Tamandua tetradactyla: one gene and its partners. The main gene of each other region encodes a partner of the protein of the gene in region 3 in a complex. Links are inferred from orthologs where the notes say so. Each region holds a gene or a part of one and is shown on either strand. Other genes may lie near its edges.

Region 1 (7,380 bases), on a different chromosome or scaffold from region 3:
GACCCAGGTTAACAAAGGTGTCTCGTCTTGTGACATCAGAAACTAATGTAATGTCCTGTGCACCTCCGTAACAGCTGGGAGTTAACGTTCTTCTTTTGACCAGCAGTATCCCATATTACAAGCTGAGCCTCATTTCCATCACTGAAATTGTTTTCACCTTAAAGTCTCCTCTGTGAACGTCAAGAACAAGCTGGACATACCCACCCCACTCTCACCATGATGAGACTCTTAACAGAGGTCAGTACATACTCATCCATCCTGACCCTCAAAGCTACAAGCCCAGGTGGCCACCCCAAAGCTCGGCTCTCAAACATTCTCCCAGGACAACTGCCATGCAAGCACAGCACTCTGTGCTACCACCCCTTACATGCATGGCTCAAGTTGCCCAAACAATACCTATTAATTTTTAAGTTACAAATACTATAAATTATGTATTTTTGTGGAAAATGACTATTTTTCAAAACAGATTTACTAGAAAAGTGCCACTGCTTTATATTTTTGCAAATCTTTAAAGGTATGGCTTAAGAGAAGACCACTGGATTCTCACATTTGCTTCTACATTCAATCTATTGTGACATGTTGCTTTGGTTGCAACGTATTTAGAAAATTCAGCCTCTTTGTTTTAGTTGGAAAAGGAAGAAATTTAATTTAAATGCCTCTTCAGAAAACTGTGGATATTCTTCTTTGATCCCAACTCAACAAGTAGCAGTTTCCTAAAGGTTAACTGCAATGTGGGATCTGCAATGTTATCAATGAACATTTTGTACTATGCAATATTAAAATCCACTGTTTTATCTTACTTCTTACACATTTCATTACACAGTATCAAATTCATTAAAATTACCACCTATTTTATTATTTAAGTATTGGGGATCTGTTAAGCTCACAGTGATGAATACAAGTGGACCGAAATTTTAATTTTCACTTGAAAGTTCCACTTCATCATTGGCAACGAATTGTTTTCCTTGAACAAGTTCTTAGTTCCTTTTCATTACCCAACCTAAAAAACCACGCTTCACATTCATTCAAGTAAAAATGGCGTCCCATGATAAAAAGCAGCCAGTTCAGCTCACAAGTCAGTCAGTCACACAAGTGCACTTCCTCAAGAGAACTACGGCTATGGTTTATACACTTTCCCATTTCATTGCAGGTATTTTAAAGGCATACTCAAGAATCTGATTTAATCAACTTAATTTTCATAGTTTCATCAAGCACATTCGTAAGTGAAAATGGTGCCACTGCCTCATTTGTGCTAAGGTGCCTGCATGCCTGCACGCTTTATCCTCAGCAGTGCTACAGCACCATCAGTGCCAGTGTCAATATAGTGAAAGTGGTAATATTTTATTATTACTCGGAAAATAGCTTTCACCTCACAGGCCCCCTCTCTCAAAGGGTTTTCCAAGACCTCTAAAGCTCACTGGAACAAATACTGAGAACCGCTACTCTAAACATGAGATATCTTCTTCACACAACCTACACCCACAACTCCAAGCTGCCCACTCCACCTGTGCCTGGGGAATTCCCACTCACTGATCCAAGTCTAGCTAAGTGTCATTTTCCAGGAGCTCTCCTTGACACACCTCCACAACTCCTTCCTCCCTTAGAACTATTCCTTTAAACACTTTAACTCAAAAACACTCCAGTAAACTAATAGCTTGCAGACTCAAAGGTAATCAATGAACTCAACTAGCACCACTCAAAGAACTCATTTGGAGGTTTCTGACAAAACAATAACAAAGTTTAATATCAGATGAATGAATGCTATTACAATAAGTCATCTCAAACTCTTTATACCAATAGATTTCCAAACTAAACCACTGTTTTAAGTGTTTGTGAAGCCCCTCAAATAAAAAGTCCTTCCATATTTCCTCCTCATTACTTTATTTGAAATCCTTTAAGAAGTTTCTTAAGGGAGACACCTAAATAGCTCACAAACACTCTAGTAAACTAATCACTTGCTGACTGGAATCTAATCAATAAATTCAACTGGTACTGCCAAAATAACTCATACAGAGATTTTGGGGGGAACAATTTCAAAAAAATTAATCACATCCAGCCAAGGAATTGGTCTTTCAAACAGTCCAGTGAAGTCAATTCAATAATAGTAATTTTGTGAAGCAAACTCTTAGAAGTATATTCCAACAATAAAATGCATACACTGGGCAGGCCACGGTGGCTCGGCAGGCAAGAATACTTGCCTGCCATGCCAGAGGACCCGGGTTTGTTTCCCGGTGCCTGCCCATGTAAAACAAACAACAAAAAAATTAAAATGCATACACTTTAAGTGCAGGCATAAATATTATCTTTTCAAACTCAACCTCTTAGTTTCACTGCTTTGATCTTCACAGCCTTCCTATTATCAAGCCATACATAACAGTTCTATGATCAACAGCAAGTAGCCTGCACCATATGAAATTGCCCTTTCTGTGCAATAAATGGCCAAATGCCGGCGGTTTCATATGGTTCACTCTAATAAAATCATGTTAAGAGAAAAGCAACGAGGATTGAATACAACAGAATGAGTCAGGAAGGAATGGAAGGTGTCTCACCGGTCATTCCAATCGTCCCCTCGACGTCTTTCATCTCTTTCCCGGGAACGGTCATAGTCGCTGCGCTCTCTTCTAAACTTGTCCCTGCGCCTTCGATCATATTCGTCATCGCTGTCACCCATAGCGCAGTCTGAAGGGGCCTGGAGCCCGGGGAGAGAGGGTCAGGGCGGCAACGAACAATGACAGGAAGTCGAAGGGATCGTCCCTCAGGAGGTGCACGCCCACCTCCCTCCCGCAAAAGCCGGCCGGCCGGCCACTGTCCCCACCATCCTAACTGCTCTTCTCTGGCAGGTGGACGGCCGCGACACTTCCACTCGCCCCCAAGGGTCTCCCTGCTCCTGCCCCAGACCCGTCGGCCCCGACTTGACAATGGCCTCCAGCGCGCTCCCCATCGGCCCCGGCTCAGGTCCCCCAGCTTCTCAAGGGCCAGCCGGAGACCCCGGCTCCCACCCCTCCCCCACCTGGAAGCGGTCGCGGCGGTTGGCCTCCCACTCGTGCAGGCCTGTTCTCCGGGAGACTCTGGCCCGCGCCCTGGCACGACAAGGCAGGAGAGAGGTAGATGCGGGGCCCTAGGTGGAAGGGGCCAATAAACAAGGAGGGAGCGGGCCTGCCAGAGATGGACTGTCGGCGGGCGCGAACTGCTCTCACCGCGCCTGCGTCACCCGCGGACCGACGCCCGGAACAGCGGAATCCTCCCCGCGCGCGCCGAACGAGAACTCAAAGAACTAAAGGATGATGGGAAGGGGTGAGGAAATCTCGCGCGCGCTCCCGTACGAGAACTGCACACGCGAGAGAAACTACGGAAGCCGGGCAGGATCAAGACTATCCTCGCGAAGGTAGTGGCACCCCTGGGCGTGAAGCGGAGTTGTCCTCCACTGTCGCGTAGTGTCACGCTCTGCCAGCTGTGTCCGGGCCCTAAGTCAGTTCGTATCCAGCCATCGCGCTTGACTCTTCGCTTGGGGTTTCTTCTGACCTAAGGATGGTTTCGACCCTCTCCTTCGGCAGGTCAAGGGCTTGGGGCGTGAGGGGTTGTTGAGGGGAAAAGAGCAACCATTTTAAATCGCCCCCTCCCACCATTTTGTGCTCCCACCAGAGAGCAGCCGTGATTGGCATCACAGCGTGTGCTGTCTTCAAAACCCAGTGGTCCTGCTTCTCGACAAAGGCGCCCCATCTTTAAACAAAATTGGCCAATGCCATCTTTATCCCCAACCAATACTCAACCAACAGGCAGAATCTTGCCTGCCCCGGGCTTACATGCAAGCTTAAAAGCTCCTTGGAGCTTGCTGCACCTTTGCTCCCGGCACGGAGAGATGTCTGTACACCAAGCTACGCTAAAGACTGTAGTCGAGTTGCAAAAACATATATATATGGACCAGGGAGAGCTAAGAAGACCCAGGTTCAAATCTTGATTCTGCCATTTGGGAACCACTGCAATCTGGGGAAGTGGCTTCTCAGCTCTGGTGTTCTCATATGTAAAAATAACCATTGTGTGTGTTTGGGTTAGGGGCTGCTGTGACAATCAGATGAGACAGTAGACTTGAAAGTGTTCTGTAAACTCTTGAGGGATTATTATTTCATGATCAGAAGAGGGGACAGCATTTGGTGACACAGATGTAAAGGCAGATGTCAGGAGGGTGGCTGATGGGAGCTGAGAGCGCAGCTAATGCTTCTGGGAAGACTCAGCAGTCTGTGGTGACGGTGGCTGAGAGTTCCTGGATGCGCCAGGCACTGCAGGCCTTGCACAGGATGTGCCCATCCAGCGGGTAGCAGCCCTGACACTCACCCTCAGAGGAGAGCAGCAATCCGCACTCCTGTTAGGAAAGAAGCCACAGTTTTCTGTCAGCTCCTGGCCCTATCATGGATCACTCTGCCATCCCCAGCACCCCAGACTCTGCAAACCCCTTTTCCCCCTTGCCCAGGCCCTCTGACCTCACACTTGTAACAGCCAATGTGAAAACTGCGATCCAGAGCCACGATCCGCACAGTCTCCTCCTGACCTGGCTCAGGCATGATGGCCCCGCCACACACTGAGCACCGTGGGGCAAACTTCCTAGGATGGAAGGGAACCAAAGAGGCTGTTAAGCCCCAGGGATGGAGGGTCCTACCAATGGAGCCAGAGAAAGTGGGATATAGGAGGGAATGGGAGAAGCCAGAGATATGGACAGGGGTCTTAGGGAAAAGAGTGAGGCCAAAGAACAGGGCCAGGGATTAGAAACAGGACTGGTGCTGGGCAAACAGCAGAGGTGAGGGAGATGGGAAGAGCCGGGCATCCTGAGAGAAAGGGCAGGGCAGGGCCTGACCTATGGAAGTCTTCAATACAGTGGATCTGGCTGGTGGCATCCACAGTGAAGGGGATGCCATCAAGGCCACGGTGGCACACCACACAGGTGAAACAACCAGGGTGGTAGGCCTTCCCCATGGCCCGCAGGATCCGGTCCAGGATAGGCTGGGAACACGTGGAGCACTTCTCCAGGGTGGCCTGTGGGGAAGAGAGCAGGATGGTCAGGGGGCCCCGTGGCAGCTCTCCAGTCATTCTGTCAGCCCACCATCTATTTATCTAGCCCACTGCCAGTGATTCAGTGAACAATCATTGCAAAGGACCTGAGTTCAAGTCTCAGCACTGCAGGTTACTGGACAAGTCATTTCATGTCTCTGAGCTATATAAATGGGAAGCAATAGGAATACCTGCCTGGCAGGGGCATGGTGGGAATTTAAGGCAGCTCCTTAATTCATCTGCCTTGCTCTTGAAAGGAATGTTGTCCTTCCCCACCAGCAGCCCAGATCTTTAGCTATTACCTAACTCTTCCTTTCTTCTCCTGTCTCAGTCTCAATTCTCCCAGCTTTGAACCTGTTCCTTTTTTAGGCTTGGACAGCTAGTTCTTGCATTAGAGAGAAGCCCCCTGCCTCCTGCTGCCAATGCCAGCCTCCCAGCCACTCACCACGTAGCAGCTCTCACAATATGCCCTCCTCTCCACAGCATAGAAATGCTGGCCCCGGAGCTGGGCCCGACATGTGGAACAGACAAAGCAGCCCACGTGGAAGACTCGGTCGAGGGCCACCACCCCGGCCCCATCCCCGACCACATCTTCTCCACAGCCCCCACACCGGCCTAGGGTCAGAGAAGAAACAGGTCAGCCTGCACAGACCCAGGAAGACAGGCCCACCGTCCCTCTGACTCTCTAGTACCCCCTGCCCCTTCCCACCACCCTGCTCACCAAAGTACTCCCCGCTGGGTGGGTGGTTCATGTCGTGCACCAACTTCTTGGTCAGCCTCTCCAGCTCCTCCTCCGGAGGCTGGCTCAGGGGGACCTGGGAGGCAAGAATCGGGGTTTCAGTCCTACCTCTGGCAACTACTCCTGACAGTGACAGGTCAACCCAGAAAACCCATCTGAGAACAGTTCAGCCCTAGGTACAGGAGTGCTTCACAGAGCCAATGGCAGCCCTCTCCCTCCTGTTTCCCAGGCTGCCCACATCCCTCAGGGATCCAGAGCTCTGAGGCCCGGGCCCTCAGACTCTGATTTAAAACCAGGACACTAAACTCCACCCTGTACCCCGTACCATCAGCATCTAGTTGTCCATGAGGACGCAAAATCCCAGTGCCTCAGGCTTACCTGGGCCCCATATCCGCCTCCTCTTCCTCCTCCGACTGAACCAGAAACCCCAGCAGCCTCCTCTTTACCCCCTGGCTCCCGGTGGCTTCGATAGCCAGCCCCCCAGACTTCCCCTCGGCCTAGGAGAGGAATGTGGGGGCCAGGGAGAGGCCCAGCGGCCTGAGAGGCCCCCCGCCTCGGTGGCCCACAGCCCCTCACTGGCTGAGCCACCTTCACTTGCACAGGGAAGGCCGGGCCAGCTGGGGTGCTGGCAGTGGCGTAGGAGGCCGGAGTGGGACCCCCATAGGAGGATGCTGGGAGCTGCAGGGCTGGAACACCCCCTCTGTTCGGCTTCAGGGAACTGGAGCGGTAGGCAGGGGGCTGAGGGGACTCATAAGCCTGGGGGGAAACACAGACCACAATGACCAAGGCCCATTCCAGACCATGTGTTCATGGAACCATGTGTTTCCACGTGTTTGAGGCGGCCCTGCCCTTGAGTCACAGACAATTAGTAAGAGCTCCCGTTCCCACGCTTTTCAATATGGGTGTGTATGGGGTAGGAAGGGGAAGGGGACTGGATTTGGATTGAGAACCGAGGGAAAGGGACAGGTTGGGGAGGATGGGCAGGCTGGGGGCAGGAGGGGGCCGGACAGGGGTTCACCTGTTGGTCTGGTCGCCGTAAGACATGACCACGACCCCCATCCAGTTCAGCCAGCATGCAGGTCAGAGAATCTATCTCAGCGTCCAGACTTCCTGGGCGTAAGCCCCCCCTATCTGGGGGGAGTCCCTGGGGATGGAATAAAAGCAGAGAGAATGCAAATCACATCTCCTCTCCCATCTTGGGTCCGGCTCACACTCAGCTCCGAGGGCCCCACGCACCCTGCCCCCCAATCCCAGTTCTCACCTGTGAGCGCTGGGGCGCTCCATAGGACCCCACCCAGGCTGGCCCCGGATCCTCCGGTACCGCGGGGGCCTGGTAACACTGCTCAGATGGGAGGGGGCAAAAATTGACCCTGGGGTGGGGCTGGAGGGCTGGGATGAGGGGAAGAGAGACCAAAGGTGGGGATGAGGGAGGGGAGGAGGAGTACACCTGGGGTCCGAGTTGGCAGGGAGGGCTGCAGGGCGGGGAGAGAGGGGGACCCTGGCCGCCAGCCCCAGCCCGGCCTGGGGGAGGGGGCGGCAGGAAGCAGGCGCCGGCGGGAGGGAGGGCGCTGGGCCGCGGTGGTCCCGTCCCGCCGCAC
Region 2 (6,938 bases), on a different chromosome or scaffold from region 3:
GTCCCCTGCCCACTCGTGTCTTCCCACCATAGCTCCACTCCAGTAAAACTGTGGACCCGACATAAAAGGAAGGACTCCTGGGAAATCAGAGCCGAGATGCACCTCCAGATGTGCCCACATAAGGGAGCCAAACCCAGCTCCACGGGTGCCCAGCAAAGGCTTGGGGGAAAGTGTGGGGTGTGACCTGGAAGGTCCTGGTTTCTCTCAGCGTCTCTGGGCTCTGGGTCCCATGGGCCCTTTGGGATCTCTGTTCTCGGCCACTTTCCCCACCTCCCACCTCCATCATCGTATGTGGTCTCAGCCTAGGGGAGGCGGGGGGTGGTCCAGGCCACTGAGGGTTCCAGCTTTCCCAGGCGATACCCAGACACAGAGTGGGACACATACAAACACCCTCAGATCCTGGAGTCACCCCCACCACACCCAGGTGGGCACACGTGCAGGAGCTCCTCCCCGGGGTAGACACAAGCAGGCCTGTCTGCAGGGCTGCCCTCTGCGGGCGGGTGGTACTGGGCCCTGTGGGTCCGCCGGAGCCTGGGAAGACACCAAGGGGGTCTCACCTGGGGAGCAGAGCCCTGGTGTGTGCGGATTCCTCCACCGCTCCAGCTTCCAGCAGGACCAGACCTCTGAGGCCCCCAGGCCACTCCGTTCCAGGCTTAAAAGCCACCCCCCCTCCACTCTCCAGTCTCCCACCAACAGCAGCCCCTGCTCACACTGAAGAGGCGCCAGGATGAGTCCTAAGGGACTGTTACTTTGGGGGAGGAGGAAGAACCCCTCAACAGCGCCAGAGCTGGAGCGGCTTGAGGAAAGAGGAAAACCAGGTCATTGTGTGTGTGGTTTTAAGAACCAGGGAATGGCCACCAGTGACCGTGGTGCCCAGTGGCCCACGGAGGTGAGGGAAATGTGGAAAGTGAGCGAAGACAGTCATTTCAAGAGTTTGTGGCAGGGATGGGGGGCACGGATACAGCTCAGCCCCCAGGGTTAGCTGCTTCCCCATCTTTATCTGCCATCCTGCACGTGTTCCCAGGATCTTAGATGTGAACTGGAGGGTGGGAGGTGGGATTGTGTGTTGCAGGTTGAAAACCGCATTGTAGACCATCTCTGCCTTCGTGGGCAGTGAAACCCACTTCCAGTCTTCATACGGCATCCATTGTCACCTTTGGAGCTTATATTACCTTTTAATGGCTTCTCCCTTTCTTACCTCAGGAATGGCAGGGTTCAGTTGATTTTATTTCCTTCCTCTCTGGATGGGGAGAGAGAGAGTGGTCAATTTCATTTTTTTTTAAAAAGTAATCTTTCTGAAGGCCCAGCTGATACCCTTCCCCTTCCCCCAACTTTATAACAACTTTGTGCCTCATTCATCAAGCAAAATTAGGTCTCTGAAGGGCTTCATCCTGTGTTTACCCTACGGCTTAGCCCAAATTTGAGAAGCACCCCTTCTATGGATCTATATCTACATGCAATTACCACATTTAATCCTCACACTCTCCATTGGAGGTAGATAATACTGTCCCCTTTTGCCAAGGAAGGAACTGAGTCTCCAAGGTCACACGTGGGCAAGCCTCCCCTTCACAAACTTCTCAGAAAAGTTGTCTGTTTTTCTCGCCTGCCTTCCCCTTCATGGGCATTGTCCGCTCCTGGTAACCTGTGGACAACAGACCACTGGACTCAAGCCAAGTTCCGTTGTGAACTTGAGGTGGCCTTGACATTGATGGCTCTGGTTTTTTTTGAACCCTCTCTCCAGTCTACCCCAATGTCCCACTCTCCTGGTTTCTTCTGCTTATAAAAATCATCCAAACTTTGGAATAGGAAAAAGGATTTCTGGATGTCCTCTCATTGTAGTGCTGAGTGTTTTCTGACATGCCTATTCCATGTGGGGATTATCTGATTTTCCAGGGATGAGTCCCTTCTTTGACTTCCTATTTGCTGTGATTAGGGCATTTTTACAACTCCCTAAGGGTAGAGGTTAATTTATAGAAAATTCATAGCAAGTGATGTAAATGTTTCCGTCTGGTAAAAAAAGGAACCTAGTAGGGCATTAATCTGTCTTGTTAAATTCACTTTGGCATTCTTTTGACCAGCTCCATAAATATCCAGTGCTCAAATTCTCTTTCGAGCTAGTCTTAATATCTCACTAGTGAGCTGAATACAAGCTTTGACATACGTTCATTTTATATTTGTATGAGAGTCATATTTTTAACTTTTTGAAAATTATTCTTTACCACCTCCTAATTCTCCACGGCCACACCTCAGCAGGCTGCACTGAGAGCAGGAGGGATGGGGGTGGGGTGGGGGAGTGGATGTTGTGGTTAGGTGACCAAAAAGGGAAAGGCACAAAGACCTTTCCCGAGGGGCGCTTTAGGAGCCCTGCTGTTTGATTGCCTGATGCCCGGGTTTGTCCTGGATTCTTGATTTACTTGCCTACTAGAGCTCCCCCTGGGGGCCAAACTGCACTGTGCCAGTGCCAGATTCCTCACTGAATTGAATTCTCAAGCAGCCAGGCTTTTCCAGCAGGGAGAGGGACCAGCCCCGCCTTCTCTGCTGGCCTCCTGGTGTCCATAGCTGAAGAGAGATTGTCCCTCCTCTTCTCGCCCCCAGCAGCCTAGAATGCAAATGTAAAGGTGGCCCCATAACTGTCAAACAATGCTGATCACCCCAAGCACAAATTTTCTTTGAACTGTTCTTTAAAATTCACACAAATTTTGCATTCTATCCATTTCATGCCTTTAGATTCAACCCAACTTTCTAACGACTTTGTGTCTCATTCAACAAGCAAAATTAGGTCTCTGAGAAGCTCCATTCTATGTTTGTCCCATGGCTTAGCCCAAAGTTAAGAAAGACCAAATTTAAGAAGCACCCCTTCTGTTGGATCTGTATCTATGTATAATTATCACATTTAATCCTCACAATCTCTGTTGGAGGTGGATAATACTGTCCCCTTTTACCCAGGAAGGAACTGGGTTTCCAAAGGATTGAGTGGCTTGCCCAAGGTCACACATGGTGTGAGGGGCAGAGCCAGTCAGCCCCAACCCAGCTGTGACTGGTGCTGATCACAAGTGCCCTTGATTTAGAATTATTTGTTCCTCCAAGATCAGAGAGGGAAGGGCCCGGAGACCCTAGGGTGCTCACTTACTCTCTCCTCAGATGGGAAAACATGCCCAGAAACTGGCTGGAACCTTCCCAAGCAAGGAAGTTGCAAAGCCGGTATCCAAAGCAAAAAATCAGTGGCGCTGACTGGAAGCCTAGAGAATACCCCCTCCTGCAACCCGGCTCTTTTTAGAAATGTGTGCACGGAAACTACGCTCAGAGGTGTGCAGTAAGTACATCAAGCCCTCAGGAGTCAGGCAATTGAGGTTCAAGCTCTGGCCTTTGGCTAGGCCACTACCTTCATGGAGTCTTAACTTTTGTGTATGTAAAACGGGCTAATTTCGGGGAGACTTGAAAGAGACAAAGGTGGGCAAGGCATATATGGATTGCACAGTGGGGATGGAACAAATGTCATTTTAGGCTCTGCAGCCACACTACCTAGGCCCCGATCCAGGTTTTACCCTCTAATAACCTGTCAGGAAATGGCTATTTTCTATGCCTCGGTTTCCTCACATGTGAAATGGGGATAATAATAGGACCTACTTTGTAGGGTTGTTGTAAAGATTCAAGCGCTTAGAACAATGTCAGGCACAAAGTGACCACTCAGTAAAGTTAGCTTTTAAAAAATCCCAGACTACGAGTCTTCAGGCCCCGCCCCCTCAGCAGGTCCTGCTCCCTCCTCACCAGGTCCCGCCCCAGCCTGCCCCAGGTTCCTCCCACCACCAGGTAGCGACCGCGCTGAGGGCCGGCCTCTGGACGAAGCAAGTGACACTCTAGGTAGCGGCGGTGGCTCCTCTGTGGCCGGTGGTGGCGGCGCTCTAGCCGGCGGTTGTGCTGGGCGGGTGCTCAGTGGTGCGGCCGGCGGGCGGCGATGGCGGCCGTACGGGGCCTGCGAGTGTCGGTGAAGGCTGAGGCCCCGGTGGCGCCGGCTCTGGGGCTGCCGTCGCCTGAGGCCGAGCCCGATTTGGAGCGTGGAGAGCCGGAGCCCATGGAGGTGGAGGAGGGCGAACTGGAGATCGTGCCGGTGCGGCGCTCGCTGAAGGAACTGATCCCGGTACCGGCGGGGGGCGGGGGTCGAGGGGGAGGTCGCAGAGGGAATGGTGGCGCCCGAGGGGGCCGGAAGGGGAGGCGGCCGGCTCCCGGGCGGAGAGAAGCCGAGGGAGGGGAAGCGAGGAGAGCGAGCGCCGGGGGGGAGGGGCAGGGGCGCCAGGTTTGAGGGGAGTGGGGGCGCTAGAGAAAGGACTCCAGTGCGGCCGGAAATGGGTGTTGGGGGGCTGGAGGAGGTGGGACAGAGCTAGGGAGTTGTTGTGGACACCCCCTTAGCTACCTCTCCGAGCCAACGAGTAGGAGCTGGAATTGTCTGTGGGAGCTTCAGATTAATGGGGACCCCGGGGCGAGAACAGAACCTGGAGCGGCCCAGAAGGGACTTTTGGGTGGCACCGACATTCAGGTCTCCCCGTGGGTCCTGGCTCTGGTGTAGTTAAAAATGGCACTCTGTCTCTCTCTTGGGAGGGTTGGATTTGTCAGCAGCAGAGACTCACTGTGTTTTCTATTGTGACTTGAGGGTCATTTTGCCTCAGGGCAGTTCCACTGCTGTGTAGAACCCACACCGCAGCCCCAGCATCTGATCCTTAATGAAACTGAAGTATCGGGACCATTAGTGCTCTTTGGATCCTTTTTATCTCATGGGGATAGTGAGAAAGGTGTTTTGCTTGTGGTTTGGTAGTTATATGCCCGGTTCTTACTGCTGGTCTTAGCTCTGGGTGGCTCTTACCCAGTACTTGATTTCTAAGCTAACAGGAGCTACTTTTAATCACATTTCAGCAAGTCTTGCTTTTAAACTGAAGTTATGGAAAAAAGTCAAGATGGAATCACTAGAGATAAACACTAGGGCTTATAGGGTAACTACAATTAACATAATAGCATTTTGCTTTTCACTACATTGTATCGTTTAAATTTCCCTGTAGTTGTGAAGTAGGTTTTAGCATCCCTTCAGTCATTCAATTCACCTGTGTATTTATTGCATTCTCAACTATGTGCTAGGCACTGTCCTAGGTGCCTGGTCAAGATCAAACTCCCTCCTGATTGGGGAATACACATAATAAACAAGTAAACAAATAATTTCTGATAATGGTAGGTGCTGTGAAGAAAATAAATCATGATAGGGTGGTGCAGCTGTGGCTCAGTGGCAGAATTCTCGCCTGCTATGCTGGAGACCTGGGTTCGATTCCCAGAGCCTGCCCATACCAAAAAAAGAAAAAAAATAAAAGGAAATAAATCATGATAATGGGATAGAGAGTGCAGGGGTTGAGGGTGGGGTGTGGAAAGTGGGAAGTAGAATATGATAAGATGGTCAGGGAAGCACTCTGAGATAGTGACAATAAACTGTACTGTAAATGAACCAGCCATGTACAGATTTGGAAGGGAGCATTTCTGGGCAAGGAATGAGGGGCATCAAGTGCAAAGGTTTTGAGATGGGAACAAGGTTGCTTTGTTGGAGAAATGGAAACTTCTGTGGTACAAATGGGAGAGTAGAAACACCTTAGGAAGATAGGCAGATACCATGGAGGAAATCGAGGCCCAGACAGGTCAAAAGAATGATACAATGTCAGTGTCAGTTGATGGAGTTACTTAAAGTTTTGGATAAGCTCTGATCTAGAAAGAACGCTTTAGAGTGGTTGATTACTAACCTTGATGTCACAGGGACAGGCTTCCTCATAAGGGGATGTCTGGGGTTGGGGAGGGGTTGCTGGAAAGAATGACTATCTGAAAGGAATCTGTTGTTTGGCATTCTTTTATCATGGGTATTTTTCTCAGTTGCTGTCAGCGTTTCTTACCCTTCTCTTTTGTATTAGGACACAAGTAGAAGATACGAAAACAAGGCTGGCAGCTTCATCACCGGAATCGATGTTACCTCTAAGGTAAGACAGAACATGATTTATTTATTCAGTTTGATAAGTGAGTGTACTTGAACTTGATTCTTAGGACATGCAGAGCAGTAATTATTCTTTACCTCATTTTTTGTGTGTTATTGGATTAATTTTTTTTAAATTTGTGTTACACACCGTGGCCCTTTTACAGCCTGCACACCTCCAGCGTTATTTGTGTTATCATACCCACAAAAAGATAAAACCACTATAGCTAGATGCTTGTGCATAACCATTTCGAAGAAAAAGTTCTGCACTGGGAATGCTTTTTTATGCCATGTTCTTTCTTTAAGAATGTATTCTGTTTCCATTTTAAATAAAACAAAACATGAAAAGTGTCTGCCTTTGTTGTCGACCCTTAGTAAATGTCTTTATTCATCACTGGCTGCAGGCTTAGAAAGATGGGCTTCATGATTGTGTGACTGTCTAACCTTAGATTCTGAGGGTATTCTCAAAATAACTATAAGTATTGCCTTTTATTGGTGTTTGCTGTAAACTAAATTACCAGCAGCTCAGAGAGACAAACCTGTTATTTTCCTTATCATAAACGGTAGATACCTATTTGTTGCTTTGATCAGTCGTATTCAGCTTAGCCATTTTTTCTGTTTTGATGTGTGCAATTGAGGTAGGAACAGAATCAGAATAGCATTCTGAATAATAGTACTGTATTGCTATACGCTATGCATAAAAGCAAAAATAAAAATTAAATATGTCATGCTTATCTACTTATATTTCATCCCAGTCTCAATCAGTCTCGGATTGCTTAAAGGCCAAAAAAAGAGCAAGCAGAAAGTAGAATAAAGTGAAAATGTTTTCTCATTGTCATGGAAAAAGAAGACTGTACTGTTTTTAATTCTGTACAGTTTGTCATTGTATGGGAAAAGATTGGTAGCTCGAGTTGGTGCTTAAGTCTACCAAAGGAAGGTA
Region 3 (7,144 bases):
TCTGGCCTTGAGCCTTTACACTTAGGTTCCCTCTGCCTGAACCACTGCTCTTCCCCAGAATCCATGTAATTTTCCTGCCTACCTCCTGCAGGCTCACAATCAGATGCTAGTATCAGATGGCCTTCCCTGAACAGCTACATAAAATATTAACTCCTCTCCTTCGGTCCTGTCTCTAGCCCATTTACTGATTTTATTTTTCTCCACAGCACTGACCACCATACAATACACTGCATTTTACTTGATTGATTGCTTTCTGCCTATCTCTCTATACTAGAATGGAGACTCCATCTTTAAATTGTCTCTTGCAGTACTGCCAATTATTTGACAATTATTCTGGACAGTGGCTGACACTATTACATATTGGTCAAGTAAATGACTGCATCCAAGTATACGGAAAGTCAGGGCAATTGCTGACATAAGCGAGAACAATAATGCAGAAGGGCTTGAAGTATCCATTTAATCCTAACGGTATTAATTCTGATTTTAAAATAGCCTCCTATAATATTTAAGCTTTCATGTTATTTTAAAAAATAAGTAGAAGTTTAACTAAAAGGGAAACATTCTGATTCAGATCCATTTTAGGGTAAACTCCAACTGACCACTACCTATAGTGCGGCAATTTACAAAAGTTCTAGATTTCATATATTTCAAAGAACTATAAACTGTCCCTCTATTACTAAAGCATCCACCATTGTGGACTTCGCTTCATCAATTTCTTATTCTACTTCTCTTTGTCTTTACTTGCGTACTGATACTCCAGCAGCAAGACCCACATGGACAATGATGAGCTACATCATTGCTGCCATGCTGCCAGCTGACGTTCAAAATCCCACAGAAAGTTATGAAAGCTTTCCAATAATCAGAAACAAGTTATTTTTCTAAATATTTGCATTCCATTCCTCTGGGTTGCCTTCTGGGACCATCCCCCCTCCCTTTCTGGATGCCCTAGAAAGGAGAGAGAGAAGAAAGAGTGGAGAAAAGAAAGCACAAGAAGAGCAAGGAACATGAGAAGAACAATAGACTCAAGTTCTCTAAATCCCAAGAGATGACTTCAAACATATTAGTTTTTGATTAGTCAAATCCATAATACACAAAGACTGTATTTTCCATGCTCTGTACGTACACGTTAGCAGTCACTTGTTAAAGTATACCACACAGCAGTGCCTGTGTAGTGAAGAGTTCTGGGCTTGTCTTCTCTGGTGTCTGGGCACTGATTACTTTGTCTCCATGTTAGTTCATTACACTCAGTCTCTGCACCCTGTGGTGTCAGATGGATTGTGAATAACCTCTCAAGCCATGCCCTAGCAGAAATCTGGTGTTTCACTGCTAAAACTAGGTACAAGTGAGTCTGTCCTCATCCACAAATGCTCAACATTCAAGGAGAGAAAACAATAATGGAGAATTATCATTAAAATTAAGATTATCAAAAAGTTAAAATTTTTGTTTTGCATTTTTCTTACATTGTTGGCACGTGCCACTATTTATGACCTCTTCAGCATTAAACAGACTATAAAATAAACATCACTGTCAAGCATTACTCAACCCTCACAAAACCCAAAACAGATTATCATTATTTTTACTTTATAGATTACAGTTTAAAGAAATTAGATAACCTGGATAAGACCACAAAATAAATAATGGGGTCTAGCTTTGAAACCATCAGCTCTCTGATTCCAAAGTTTGGTCTCTTACCCATTACTCTACAATTTAATAAATGATTCACTAAAATATTAAAACAGATTTAAGCACAGGTGTTTTTTTGACTGGATCTGTGTTCATGACTGATTTTTGTAATGCTTATGTGAAATGTGAGTATCTTTTTCTACTTTTTTTACTAGAAAAAGTCTTAGTTCTTAGTATCTCTGTGAGCACAGCACCCAATGGAAATGGAACCCCTGATCTAAATTTCAAAAAGATCTCCAGTTAGTTTTCCAGCACTCTTAATTACATGATGGAAAACGCCTAAGGCCAGTTCACAACCTAATAAAACAGCATGGGTCTGTTTACTAGTGACCTCTTGAGCGGAGAGAAGACACAAGATTCCTTTTCTGAAAGTTTGAACAAAGTTGAATCAATGGATGATGGTAGGTACAGGAGCAGAGTAGGCTGCAATTCATCAGCTCTTTGAGTCAGTGCTTTGTTTCTTTTCTTCAATTAAGTTTCCCTTAGAGGCCTTTTCAGGTTACTTTGAAGGCCAACTTAGAAGGTTAAAATGAGACACTGTGTCCCTGCCACTGCCCATCTAAGAGGTAAGGACACAGACACGGGTCTACTTCCTGCTCGGCAGAGCCAGGACCAACCCCTGAAGCGTCTTTAGAGACCAGGAGGTCTCTAATCACGGGCTCTAATCACGGGCTAAAGGCGCGAGGGCTGCGGGCAGCAGTCGCTTTCTGGAACCCACCTGGCCACACCCCCGCTCTGCCAGCCTCCTAGGCTCCGCGGCTGTACGAACTCTACCAGGGGAGAAGGGCTCTCCATTCCTTCCCTCGAGACCCGAAGGCCAAGGAAGCCGAAGCTAGGGCGCGGCAGCCAGGGCCGGGTCGAGGGCACTCACCGTCGTTTTCGTCGCTGTGCCGCCGTCGCGACATGCCGCACGTCGGTGCGCTTCCGAGGCGAGACGCCGGGCAGGAGGTGCGGTAGGAACCGTCGGACACTCAGCCGGCGCGACCACAGCAGGCAGGCGCGCGGATCCGCCGGCGCGCAGGCGCACTCGCTGGCGACGGCTCCCGGAAGCGCAAGGATGAAGGTCGGCCGGGTGGGCTAGCAGACTCGGCTGCAGGAGGGCCGCAGGTGTCTGCACGGCACGCAACAGCCCCCTCTTCTGCTCGACTTTCCTTCGCCTCGCGGCTGCTTTCTTCTCCTGCCTTTCGCTCTCTGTCCTTCCGGGGCCACGCAGAAAGCGCAGCTGCTTCATTCAGGTACAGCTCGCCGGCTGCGAGCGGCCTGGGGCGGGGCAGGAATGGACGGGAGGCGGAGGTCTGGGCGGGACGCTCTTTCCCCAGCCCTGGATCCTCTCGGTGGTTTTCCCGGCGGCCCTTGCGCTAACGGCCACTGAGATTTCCGTGGCCAAGTTACGTCGTGAGCGTTTTTCCCTACGTCAACTCGCGGCTGGGGCTGTAAGGCTTGAAGGCCGTGAGCAGCGACAATTGCTAAGCGGAGACTGTTCAGTGAGCCCATACCTCGGCAAGGCTCCGGACTGGCGGGTATGTGCTCGACGTACTACCGCTTCCCGGTTTTCGCCTACGCGGGAAGCTGTGCGGAGAGGTTGGGTCAGGCTACGCGGGGTTGCCCGGGCGGAAGGCGGGCCCCACGTGCCGCCCACTGTGATAGGGGAGGCCCGCCTGCTCGGAGCACCTCGGTTGTTGTACGTTTCGCCTCCGCGCGTTAGAAGGAGCTTGTTGGCCGTTTTAGTAATTCGTTTTCAGTACTTGTGGGTTGTCAAGAGAAACTAAGTCACCATTATATTCAGAACTTGCAGATTTTTTTTAAAGAAACTGCTGGAGCAGAGAGATCTCAAACTGGAGGAGTGAGTCTCCAATGAGAGCAGGCCACAGCGACTTATAGAAACGATTAGGGAATTTCAAATGGAAAGTTAAGATTGGTTGACGGCTAAGTTTTTCATTACATAGGGTCTTACAAAGCAGAGAACAGATAGCCATTGGTTAGTATAATGTATTTGTCCATTTTTAATAGGCTGTCCTTACTGGTCCGAGATCAGCTTATCATCAGGTGTCGCAAAAATTGCAACTTTATCGGGAGTGCTATTTCCTCAGAGACCTGTACTTGAATCCGTGTCATTTTTCGGCAAGGTGATCGCTACCGGTAACTCCCAAGGCAGTCGGCTTTTAAAAATCTCATTTCGCAGCATATACTTATATATGAACACCTCCGGCCTTGGTGAGCCCCCACCTGTTTATCTGTCTCTCCTTGGTCATTTGAAATTTCACTCTCCCTACCCATTTCAGTAAATGGCACCGTCCATCTTGTTGCCCAATCCAAACATCTAGGTAGGAGTCATTCTTGAGCCCTCTTTCCTTCACTTCCTGCATAGCAATTATCCATAAACCCCACTGGTTCTACTTCCAAAGGAGATCCAGAATTGGTGCACTCCTCACTACTGCTGGCTTTTTAATCCGAGCAAGTGTCCTCTCTCACCCTAATAAGTGTAGTAACTTGATTGGCCTACTTGATTCCTTGCTTTCTTAAAATTCTACACAGCAGCCAGAAGGTTCTTAAGATGAGAATCAGACGGTGGTGATCGTTTGTCTAAAACCCACAATGACTTCTGTGGAGGACTCTGTACTGTGGCCTTCCTGTTCTACCTGCTCATCACTGCTCCATCCACTTTGTCTTCTTGTTCCTCCAGTAAATCAAGCTTGTTCTCTCTGTAGGAGTTTATATTCCCTCTTTCCCTTGCCTGAATGTTTCTTTTATTTTTATTGTAAACAACAAGCAAACATACAAACATTCTTGACATGGTTACAATCATTGGCTCACAGTATCATCTTTCGTGTGTTCATCACCATGATCATTTTTTTGAACATTTGCATCTCTCCAGCAAAAGAAATAAAAAAGAAAAACTCATACATGCTGTACCCCTTCCCCTCCCTCTCACTGACCACTAGTATTTCATTCTATTCAATTTATTTTAACTTTTGTTCCCCCTATTATTTGTATATATCTTACCATATTTTTTACTCATCTGTCCATACTGTAGATACAAGGAGCATACCTGAATGTTTCTGATCCCAGATCTTTGCTTGGCTGGCTCCTTGTCATTTAGGGCTCAGCTGAAACATCAGGTCCTTAGGTCTTCCCTAGATACCTAATTAAATTAGCTGGCCCTGCCACTAGGTCATTCATAGCTATTTTATTTCACTCAGACATTCATTCAACAAATACTGTATTTATTATTTAGCACTAGTTATGTGCTAGGTACTGTTCTAATTCTTGAGGATGCAGCAGTGAACAAAGGAAAAATCTGATATTGTCATGCCCTGTTCAGGAATGGGCAAAGGGATCAGTGCAATCAGAGAAGAGAGCAAAGAGAAGTATGGATCAGAAAGGTAGTGAGAGCATGGTAAGGACTTTGGATTTTTATCTGAGAAAGTTGAGAAGTCTTTGGGGGGGTGATCTGACATTATTAAAAAATAAGTCTGTGTATTATTAAAAAATATACTTTGGCTCCTACATAAGAAAGGCAGTCAGGCTATTGCAGTGATTCAGGCAAGACCTGGTGGTGGCTTGAGCTGGGGTGGAAGTAAAGATGGTGAGAAGTTGTTTGACCTGCTTGTATTTCCAGAGCAGAGCTCAGGAAATATGCCAAAGTTGTTGCCTGATGTATTAGTTTGTTAAAGCTGCCAGAATGGATTATACCAGAAATGCAATGGCTTTTAAAAAGGGAAGTTATTATGTGTTTACAGTTCTGAGACTGTGAAAAAGTCCAAATTAAAGCGCCAACAAGAGGTTACTTTTATTCAAGAAATGTTGATGCCATCTGGAACACCTCTGTCAGCTGGGAAGGCACGTGGCTGGCATCTGCTGGTCCCTTGCTCCTGGGCTCTATTGCTTTCAGCCTGTTCCTTTGGGAGTTCCTCACTTGGTTTTTGTGGGCCTTCACTTAGCTCCTCTGGGACACAATTCTGGGTTCTGGCTTGCTTAGCATCTCATGGGAAGGCACATGGTGATGTCTGCTGGGCCCTGTATCTGCAAATGTCTGGGTCTTTTGGTTCTGTCAGCTCTGAAGCAACTATTCTCCAAGCATCTACATCAGTTCTATGCTTTCTCAAAAATGTTTCCTCTTTTAAAGGACTCCAGTGAACTAATCAAGACCCACCCAAAATGGGTGGAGCCATATTTCCATCTAACCTAAAGGCCACACCCACAGTTGGCCACCCCACACCTCCATGGAGATAATCTAATCAAAAGAGTTTCTGCCCTACAATATTGAATCTGTGTTAAAGGACATTGCTTTTCTGGGGTATACAACACTTTTAAGAAAGCACACCTAAGGAACAGGAAGAATGATTTATATATTTAGTTTTACTGAGGCAAGGAATACCAGAGAAGAATAGGTTTGGTTCCAGGGAGAGTACCTTAATAAGAGTTTGGTTCTGAACAGTTGTGTCTGAAAAGGCTATTAGACATCCAGTTGAAGCTATCCAGGAGAAGAGTCAGCTACATGAATTTGGAATTCAAGGGAGAAGTCCTAGTTGGAGATAGAAATTTAGAGTAATTTACTGTATAGTGTTCTAAACAATTTTTGGTTCCTTTATAGTTGTTTCCCCTTTTTTCTTTCTTTATTGAAAATTTTAGGTATTTACAAAAGTAGAAAACTTACACAATGAACCTTTATGTGCTCATTATCAAGCTTCAATAATCATCAGCTCATTAAGGCCAAGCCGGTTTCACCTATGTTCCCACCCAGCCCCCGACCTGCATCATTTTAAAGCAAATAGAGTTTAAAGCTTTCAGACTAGATTAATTCACCCAGGGAGTGAGTGTGAATAGAGCAGTTCAGCACGTAGAGGTTGGGACCATGAGGAGGATCCAGCAGAAGCATGTGGTTTTTACATGTTTGCTTATTTGTTTCCTTATTTGATGTTTCTCTCTCTTTACTAGAATAGAAGTTCCAGGGGCACAGGGGCATGGACTGTTCCAGTCAGAGCTGCCTCTTCAGCACTGTTCTTATGTCAGGCACACAATCGTGCCTCTGCAAGTAATAGTTAAAAGTATAGCTATAATTAGACTAAAGCAAGAGCTGAACGAGGATTTAGAGCAAGAGGGGGCAGGGGCAGCCCTTAAGGAGTGGTGGGAAAGGCATGTGCAAAGCATGGCTTCTGTGTGGGACTAGGTGAGGTCCAGGTGGCCAAAGCAGAGTGCCTGGCCTGAGATGACTAAGAGATGGGGCACTGGCTGATGGAGACGAATGTGTGAAAGAAGTGACATGTGAGCTAAATCTTGTTAAAGGTGTTTAGCATTTGGATAGGGAGAGAGGAGAGAAGTGAGTGTAAAGGAACAAAAAGGTGTAAGGAATCAAAGCTGGAGTGAACATGGCATCTGAGTGGGATGGTGGAGAGGCCAGGTTAAGCAGCAGGTCCTTTATGAAGCAGGTTGGAAAAGAAACCAGTGCCTGAAGTGGGGT
Region 4 (6,834 bases), on a different chromosome or scaffold from region 3:
AAAAGTATCAGTGGCTGAGAGAGTTCAAATACAGTCGAGAGGCTACTCTGTGGTCACTCTTAGGTAAGCTTCAATTAGACATTGCTACCTATCATAACTTGCCAAACCCCAACCAAAACCATTCCAACCAATCCTAAAGAACACTTGGGGCAATATATAAGATTCTACAAAGATTCCACACTGGGGGTAACTTTCCAGAAAACTACAATCCAGATGGGTCGCAGGACCAGATAAGTCCTGAAACCTAGAGGGCCCAGCCTCTCCAGAACATCAGATAGTTCCATCTCCCTACCCTATATTATTAATAATCTCTTCCAACATGAAAAAGTTATAATAGCCATAGCCCAAATACCCCTAATGAGTGGGATAGAAAGATTAAAGGTGATGGTGGAGTTATACAGAGAAGGTAGGGTTTAACAACAAATGATTTCTGAATCACTGATTATTTCTTTTTAATCTCCAGTATCTTGAAGCAGCTGTGGAATTGTAACCCATACTAAACTCTGAAATCTATTCTACAACTAATTATGCTGTGCTTTGAAATTTATTACTTTTTTGTATATATATATTTTTCACACAAAAAAAGTTGATTGTGATGATAAAATATTTATTCCTTCTAGTCTCCTATGTTCTGGAGCAGTTAGAATGAAAAATCTGAGATAATGGTATGGCAACTCATGACAAACTCTGGGATGTGTCCTGTAACTACTTGTTTGAAGAGTGCTTTGAAAACTATTGCTTTTTTCTTTCTTTGTTTTGTATAAATGTTATACAATAAAAAAGTTAAATAAATATGGCACATCAAATATGTATCCCCTAGAAAAATGCACAGCCTCATGCAATATGGAACATTTCCAAGATGAAGTGCAAAGTGAAAAAGTGAAAAGTGCAAAGCGAAAAAAGAAAATCAATGAAAACAGTATGTTCCAACTTATTAAGTCTGAATATACACAAGTATCACACACAAGAAACTGGTAACTATGTCTGAATCTGGGAGAAGCAGAGATTTTATGTATATGTTAAATCATTCAGTTCTCAGAACTGTATGAAGAAGGTCCTAATTTATCATACTCATTTTACATAAGAGGAAAAACACAATTAAGTAACTTGTCCAAGGTTCAACAGCTACTCAGTAGTTGTAGCTGGAATTCAAACCCACTCTTACCTCAATCCCATACTACCCTTAAAAGCCCACAGAACTCCTGGGATGAGCCGGCACTCAGCACCATAGGATTGAGAGAGCCTTCTTGACCAAAAGGGGGAAGAGAGGAATGAGACAAAATAAAGTTTCAACGGCTGAGAGATTTCAGAGTCGAGAGGTTACCCTGAAGGTTATTCTTATGCATTATCTAGTAGATACTGTGTTCCAGTAGCCTTGATTCCTGAAAACAATTGTATAACTATATAGTTTTTACAATGTGACTGTGTGATTTATCCAGGGTATGGACAGGTGAGTAAAAAAAATACGGACAAAGAATGAATAAATAATGGAGGGGGGTAAAGGGTAAAATAAAAAGTTGGGCATACTGAAATACTAGTGGTCAATAAGAGGGAGGAGGAATGTATGAGCTTTTTCTTTTTATTTCATTTTCTGGAGTGATGCAAATGTTCTAAAACGATCATGGTGATGAATACACAGTTATGTGATAAAAAATCCGTACAAAAATCATTCTATGTTAAAAACAGGTTTTCAGAACTTTGAAATAAAACATTAGGAAAAGTAAAATCACTTTATATTACTGTTATATGTTAAAAATTACAGTAAGGAGGCATTTCCTTTTTTCTGCTGTTCTCACATGTAAGTAATGTCAAACTAATGGCCTATGGCTTAAGACAACAGTGGTGTAAGTATTTACTTAAGGTATATTAGTGTGTATTCCATTCAGGGAACACTCGAAATTCCACCTGGCAGTACTGTACTACTATCCAATCAAAGCAACAGGCTTTAGACTGTAGAGATGAGTAATAGCAAAAGTCGAATACTTTCAGTTTTAATCTTGCAGGATGGTTTAAATTCAAGATACTTATGATGTGAAACTTTGTAAAATAATGAGAACTGTAAAAGTGGTGGAAATGGAAATCATGCTGGCACACAGTAAACATTAAAAACTGCTGACCTTTACAATCACTACTAGATGGTTGAGAGCTCTTAGGGTGAGGTAACTGTCTCCCCCCTCCCCCTAGGGCTTAGCTAAAAGCTAAATGTTTACTAGATAACTGGATTGGTAAATCCACCCCACCACTACCACCGCCTTACACATGTCCTTTGTTGATAACGAAAAGTCCAGCATGAATAAATACTGCAGGCTCTCCTTTTCCACAAAAATCTTCTCTGACACTGCCCAATATAAAATGTCCCTCCCGCAAATCAGCAGTTCTCTGATCTTGACACCCAGACATCCTCAACGTGCCTAGCTAGGCTGGTCCATCTCTTTACACGGACAACTCCATGTGGTGGGGGATGCCGCAGGGTTCAAGTTTTATCTCCCACCACTGAGAACACTGTAAGACCTTCCTACTAGACAAAGGAAAGGACCCAAAATGCCAAAGGGCATTGTTTCGGTAATCTAGATTAAGAAAAAAGAAAAGCCCCGATATCTGGGTCAGGAAGGCGTCTCCGCGTACAAGGAGCAAATGCAGAACTGAGAAAGCGAGCCTCGAACTCCCTTTCTATGAGAGGAAATAGCTTCAGTGATAACCAAACGCCCTACCGAATCCATTTCCTGTCTCCCCAGGCCGCACTATGGCCTTACTTCAATATGAGGGACAGCATCAGGGTGGAAGACACAACAACGAGACAGGGCAAATCGTTTCTCAGAGTACTGGCCCAGGGTCCTCCCTCTCGTGGCCCGGCCTCCCTTACCCGGAAGTGCTGGTCCCGGTATTGGCTCAACTCCACGTAGGAGTCGCTGCGCAGCGCCTTCAGAAATCCGCTAGACATAGTGCACGGAGGTGAATAAGGACGCTGCGACGCCGGGAACAAGGTGGCCGAGGCGGAGCCGGAACCGGAAATGCGTATGGTGGATGCAGAAAGCGGAAATCCCAGGCCCAATCCAAGCGCGTCAGTGTCGTCATCAGGTTGCGCCGATGCAGGACGCGGTCCTTGTTGGGAGTCGCCGATGAGAAAGCGTGCGCTGTGTGCTCCGGGTTCCGGGGCGCTCCGGGTAGGATGGTTCTTCGGCGGCTACTGGTTTCCTTGCTGAACAGCTCGCAACTGGTGGAGCGTCTGTCCGAGTCGCGGCCCATCCGGCGTGCGGCGCAACTCACGGCTTTCGCACTGTTGCAGGCCCAGCTGCGCGGTCAGGACGCAGTCCGCCGCCTCCGGGGCCTCAAGGCTGGGCCCGCGAACTCCCTGGGCTGCCGTGCTGCCCGCTTCAAAGACACCTTCACCCAGGAACTGCGCCGCGGCCTTCGGGACCGCCCGGGGTCACCACCAGGTAGCCAAAGAGGCCCGGGCTCAGAACCCTAAGCCCGGGCTTGGCCGAGTCGAGATCACCTACTTTCCCTTCTGGGCTCTACATCAACCTCGACATTGAAGCACTGCGCACGGCCCCGAAATCTGACTACAGGGTCCCACTCATGGGAAGGCCCAGACCAAACCGACAAGCGTGTTGAAACCCTTTGATCGGACCGATACAATATGGGGAAAGACGCCGAAGCCCGACGGGTAAAGATAGGCCAGGCCCAGATACAAGACATACAGAGAGCCACAGCCTGAAAGAGATCCTGCTCTCTGCAGATGAGACCGAAATTCTTGATAGATGCTGCTGCATCTACACTGGTACAGCCCGGCACTCTTCCAAAGAAGATTACTGACGGAAAGACAACCCTGCAGCTGCCAAAATACCCTGATTAAATGTGTGAGCTGATGAATGGGCCTGAGTGTGATACTTCTCAGGCAGGATGGATTAGGAATCCTGGGGGCTGTAGGTCCGTGGTAATAGTAAACACATATTGAGTGCTTGCTTTGTTGGTAACTTGCTAAGTGCATCTGAACATGTAAGGAAATGGAGGCTACTTGTAAGTTGCCAAACATCTTACAGAGTGGTTTGTGAACACAGGCACTTGTCTCCAGGGCCTCAGTCCTTAATTATAGTTTCTTTGCCCTTACCCTGACCCTCAATGCTTGCCTATACCCATCAGCACCAGCCCCTGGAACAAGCTGCCTGGGTTCTTACTCCCCCATTTTAGAGAGTAAGGGATACAGACTAGGACTGTTCCAGCTAATGGGCCTATGATTAAGAAATCAATTGTATACAGAAGTACCCTGTCTTTGGGGCTTCTAGCTGAATTTCTGGTAATCACTTATTAGGCTACTTCATTAATCGTGTAATCGAGAAAGCTTGAAGGCACAGGAAAGGCTTTTAGGCTGGTGGCCACACAGAATTTAATACCTAAGCTTTTCTCTCAGTCATGAAGAGTCTACCCTGGGAATTTCAAACTCATGACCCTGGAGTACAAGCAATAAATGGGGAGGGCAGTGTTACCAAGTGGAGAGTCTCTAACCCATCCAGGGTGGGTATTGGCTTCTCAGTGCCAGCTGGGTTTTGTTGGGTGGGGTTGTGGTAGTGCTGGATCGTATGGTTTTTCAGAAGCTGGAAATTATGTTTTGTAGGAAAAATCTGATTTCTAGAGTATTGACAAAAACATTTATTACTTCACATGTAACAAAATAGCCATTGGCTACCATTTTTACTACCTTAGCTTTGGCCTTGCTTTGTCTTTTACAAATGAAGTAGAGGTTCCAGTCCTGGTGCTACACGGTTTTTGGATATAAAGGCTATCCAGCTATGTATTGTAATTAGTATTGCTTTCATGCAGACAGTCCTGCTTTTTACTTTTATAGGTTTCTGTATCAGTATCATTTTAGCAGCTCTTTCTAAGAGTAGGATCCTTCTTGCCACCTTCATTATCTCCATTATTAAGAAGATGAGTCATGGGCTGCCACCACTGACACCATCAGTTGATCCTCCTCTTACAGATCCCCTCCTAAACCTGTATCAGGTCCTCTCTGGGAATAGACCCAGTGATTACTTTGAGAGGCATAAAAAGATGCTCTTCAAATAATACTGCCAGATGTGTTTGAAACCTGAAAGCTTTCACAAGTGACAAAGCTTTCCATTCTGCCCTGGATACCTACCGGAGTGGCTGGCTGAGCATATCCTGGCTTGCCTACAAGGTGTATTTTCAACAATTTTCTCTTCTCTGGCGATAGGGGATTGGTTTGAGGTTTGCAATCAGATGCAGACTCCTAGGAATTCATATTCAAGACAACGAATTATTGGTAGCCATGTTAGTGACTAACTAAAAAGAAAGCCCTGAATTACCTACTGCCAAGGGATCCTGATTCTGCCCTTATCAAGTCTTAGTTGTGTGACTCTAGATTTTAGGATATAACACAGTATCCTTATAACAGATTTTCCTTTTTCAGGTTAGTTACAATCAAAAGAGCATTAACTAAACTAGTAAACGTCCCACTGAAAAAATGAAGCATAAATTGAAAATACACCAGAAAAAAAGGAGAACAACTCTCCACCCAGTAAGTCACTTAAAGTGGATATGCCCGAAGGATCCTTAGGGTATTGGCTTTTTGGAGGATAATGGTGACTGAAGAGTTTACAGTCAAAAGCAGGAGAGGAGAAGGTTAAAATTGTGTCTAAATTGGCCCTGTTTGCTTTGACCTGAGAAGGTCAAAGAAGGTATTCTAGGTCCTGCTCCATCCATACTTGAAAGGAATATATCTTTTCAGTTACAAATAGAATTGTTCTATCTACTCTTGTTCTCCACTTTCCCAATGGCGTATTCTGATTTGGCATCCCACCCTCCTGCCTTTCTATCAGAAGGGCTATTACATCCTCTCTGATGCCAGACGCCCCACTCTCCTAATGACCAAAGTCCTGGTTTGACCTCCTCCTATCAAAGTTGCTATCAAAGCTCCCTCTTCAGGACTAGAGGTGACGCCCCCTGGCAGTGGGGAGCCTGAGAAACTTGCCCTGCCTGCTGCCTCTATCTCTTTGGTCTCTGGATATCAGAACAGCAGACTATTAGCAGTCCCCAGCCCAACCCCTTACCCCCAATATAAACAAGCGCACAAAAGGAGAAGCAGTAAGGAAGTAATGAAGCTTCCAGATGCAGATTGGCTATTTGGTAAGAAAGGAAAGAAAAGGGGGCAGTTCTTTATTTTCCCTGGAAGAACTTGTATAAGAACTAATTTCCTTCTATTTTTTTTTCAGATAGAGAAAACTGGGTCCATCTTTTCTGCTCTAGCAAGAGGTGATTTCATTCCCATCTAGCTTCATTGGAGGGGCAGCCTCCCATGTTTATAGTCAGTAGCCTGTCATTCCACCATTACCTTATTGATGAAGAAACAGACCAAATTCTTCCCAGCATCCCTTTCCAAGCTCTTCTAAGTCCTGACGAAAGATGGAGGGAAGCAGCTCACCCACTATACCACAGACCAATTAAGACTCATCACTTGATGCTGGAGAAATACCAACACTTTACAGACAGATATACAATCTACATGGACTGCCACAAGAACAATTCCTCCAGGGAATTCTGAGGGTGTGAACCCAATTGCAGGGGAAGGGACAGGCAAAAGTGCCAAGAATCCCAGAGGACAGTTTGGAGTCCCAGGATCTGGAGTGTCTTCAAGGTGACACGTGATTTAATAGCCATAGGGCAGAAAGCCATCTTTGGCTGCAAAATAGACAAGTGGTCATCAATGCCAGATGGGATGATAAGCAATAGAGGTATGAAGACAAATCAGAAAAGCAAAGCACGAGAACAATGAAGTGTCATGATGGGTATAATAAAATTCCAAGGAGGGAAATA

What was found.
Region 1: the proteins of NCBP1 (region 3) and SRRT are in contact, whole or in part, in a cryo-EM structure (PDB 8PMP), measured with the Homo sapiens proteins. The link is inferred for Tamandua tetradactyla from reciprocal best matches to the Homo sapiens genes NCBP1 and SRRT. Residues at the interface, in NP_002477.1 of Homo sapiens: Tyr461, Gln463, Lys511, Lys557, Ser558, Ser560, His561, Ser564, Ala567, Lys568, His570, Lys607, Ile609, Arg610, Thr611, Gln612, Met648, His651, Glu705; in NP_056992.4 of Homo sapiens: Asp857, Pro858, Arg859, Val862, Glu863, Tyr864, Arg865, Asp866, Leu867, Asp868, Ala869, Asp872, Asp874, Phe875, Phe876.
Region 2: the proteins of NCBP1 (region 3) and NCBP3 are in contact, whole or in part, in a cryo-EM structure (PDB 8BY6), measured with the Homo sapiens proteins. The link is inferred for Tamandua tetradactyla from reciprocal best matches to the Homo sapiens genes NCBP1 and NCBP3. Residues at the interface, in NP_002477.1 of Homo sapiens: Lys330, Ile377, Glu378, Cys380, Lys381, Pro384, Pro388, Gln389, Ala392, His420, Asn423, Phe424, Gln425, Arg427, Trp428, Ser429, Glu431, Asp432; in NP_001107590.1 of Homo sapiens: Glu572, Asp574, Glu576, Leu577, Gln578, Ala580, Trp581, Gly582, Leu584, Ile585, Lys588, Glu589, Arg592.
Region 4: the proteins of NCBP1 (region 3) and NCBP2 are in contact, whole or in part, in a crystal structure (PDB 5OOB), measured with the Homo sapiens proteins. The link is inferred for Tamandua tetradactyla from reciprocal best matches to the Homo sapiens genes NCBP1 and NCBP2. Residues at the interface, in NP_002477.1 of Homo sapiens: Glu32, Cys36, Leu71, Thr74, Val75, Arg77, Leu78, Leu79, Ser324, His325, Trp326, Lys327, Glu328, Arg329, Lys330, Ile368, Val370, Met371, Thr374, Glu378, Asn415, His419, Ser422, Asn423, Gln425, Lys455, Arg458, Leu459, Ser460, Tyr461; in NP_031388.2 of Homo sapiens: Gly4, Leu5, Leu6, Lys7, Leu9, Arg10, Ser11, Asp12, Ser13, Tyr14, Glu53, Glu54, Gln55, Tyr57, Glu58, Leu59, Lys62, Ser63, Asp65, Lys67, Ile69, Tyr89, Asn96, Arg99, Tyr100, Asn102, Gly103, Thr104, Arg105, Leu106.

The regions. Positions count from the first base shown.
Region 1 is NC_135349.1:8,881,878-8,889,257, reverse strand, and holds the start of SRRT (serrate RNA effector molecule homolog), read right to left. Parts: upstream 3,003-7,380; 5' UTR 2,942-3,002; coding exon 2,816-2,941; intron 2,690-2,815; coding exon 2,550-2,689; intron 1-2,549. Other genes in the region: TRIP6 (thyroid receptor-interacting protein 6), read right to left, coding at 4,229-4,360, 4,479-4,599, 4,850-5,028, 5,489-5,658, 5,765-5,858, 6,161-6,538, 6,801-6,926, 7,044-7,171. UniProt on the Homo sapiens protein: Acts as a mediator between the cap-binding complex (CBC) and the primary microRNAs (miRNAs) processing machinery during cell proliferation.
Region 2 is NC_135332.1:57,853,466-57,860,403, reverse strand, and holds the start of NCBP3 (nuclear cap-binding protein subunit 3), read left to right. Parts: upstream 1-3,934; 5' UTR 3,935-3,955; coding exon 3,956-4,138; intron 4,139-5,939; coding exon 5,940-6,005; intron 6,006-6,938. UniProt on the Homo sapiens protein: Associates with NCBP1/CBP80 to form an alternative cap-binding complex (CBC) which plays a key role in mRNA export. NCBP3 serves as adapter protein linking the capped RNAs (m7GpppG-capped RNA) to NCBP1/CBP80.
Region 3 is NC_135328.1:14,734,339-14,741,482, reverse strand, and holds the start of NCBP1 (nuclear cap-binding protein subunit 1), read right to left. Parts: upstream 3,013-7,144; 5' UTR 2,589-3,012; coding exon 2,555-2,588; intron 1-2,554. UniProt on the Homo sapiens protein: Component of the cap-binding complex (CBC), which binds cotranscriptionally to the 5'-cap of pre-mRNAs and is involved in various processes such as pre-mRNA splicing, translation regulation, nonsense-mediated mRNA decay, RNA-mediated gene silencing (RNAi) by microRNAs (miRNAs) and mRNA export.
Region 4 is NC_135336.1:16,605,905-16,612,738, reverse strand, and holds the start of NCBP2 (nuclear cap-binding protein subunit 2), read right to left. Parts: upstream 3,016-6,834; 5' UTR 2,942-3,015; coding exon 2,864-2,941; intron 1-2,863. Other genes in the region: protein NCBP2AS2, read left to right, coding at 3,170-3,469. UniProt on the Homo sapiens protein: Component of the cap-binding complex (CBC), which binds co-transcriptionally to the 5' cap of pre-mRNAs and is involved in various processes such as pre-mRNA splicing, translation regulation, nonsense-mediated mRNA decay, RNA-mediated gene silencing (RNAi) by microRNAs (miRNAs) and mRNA export.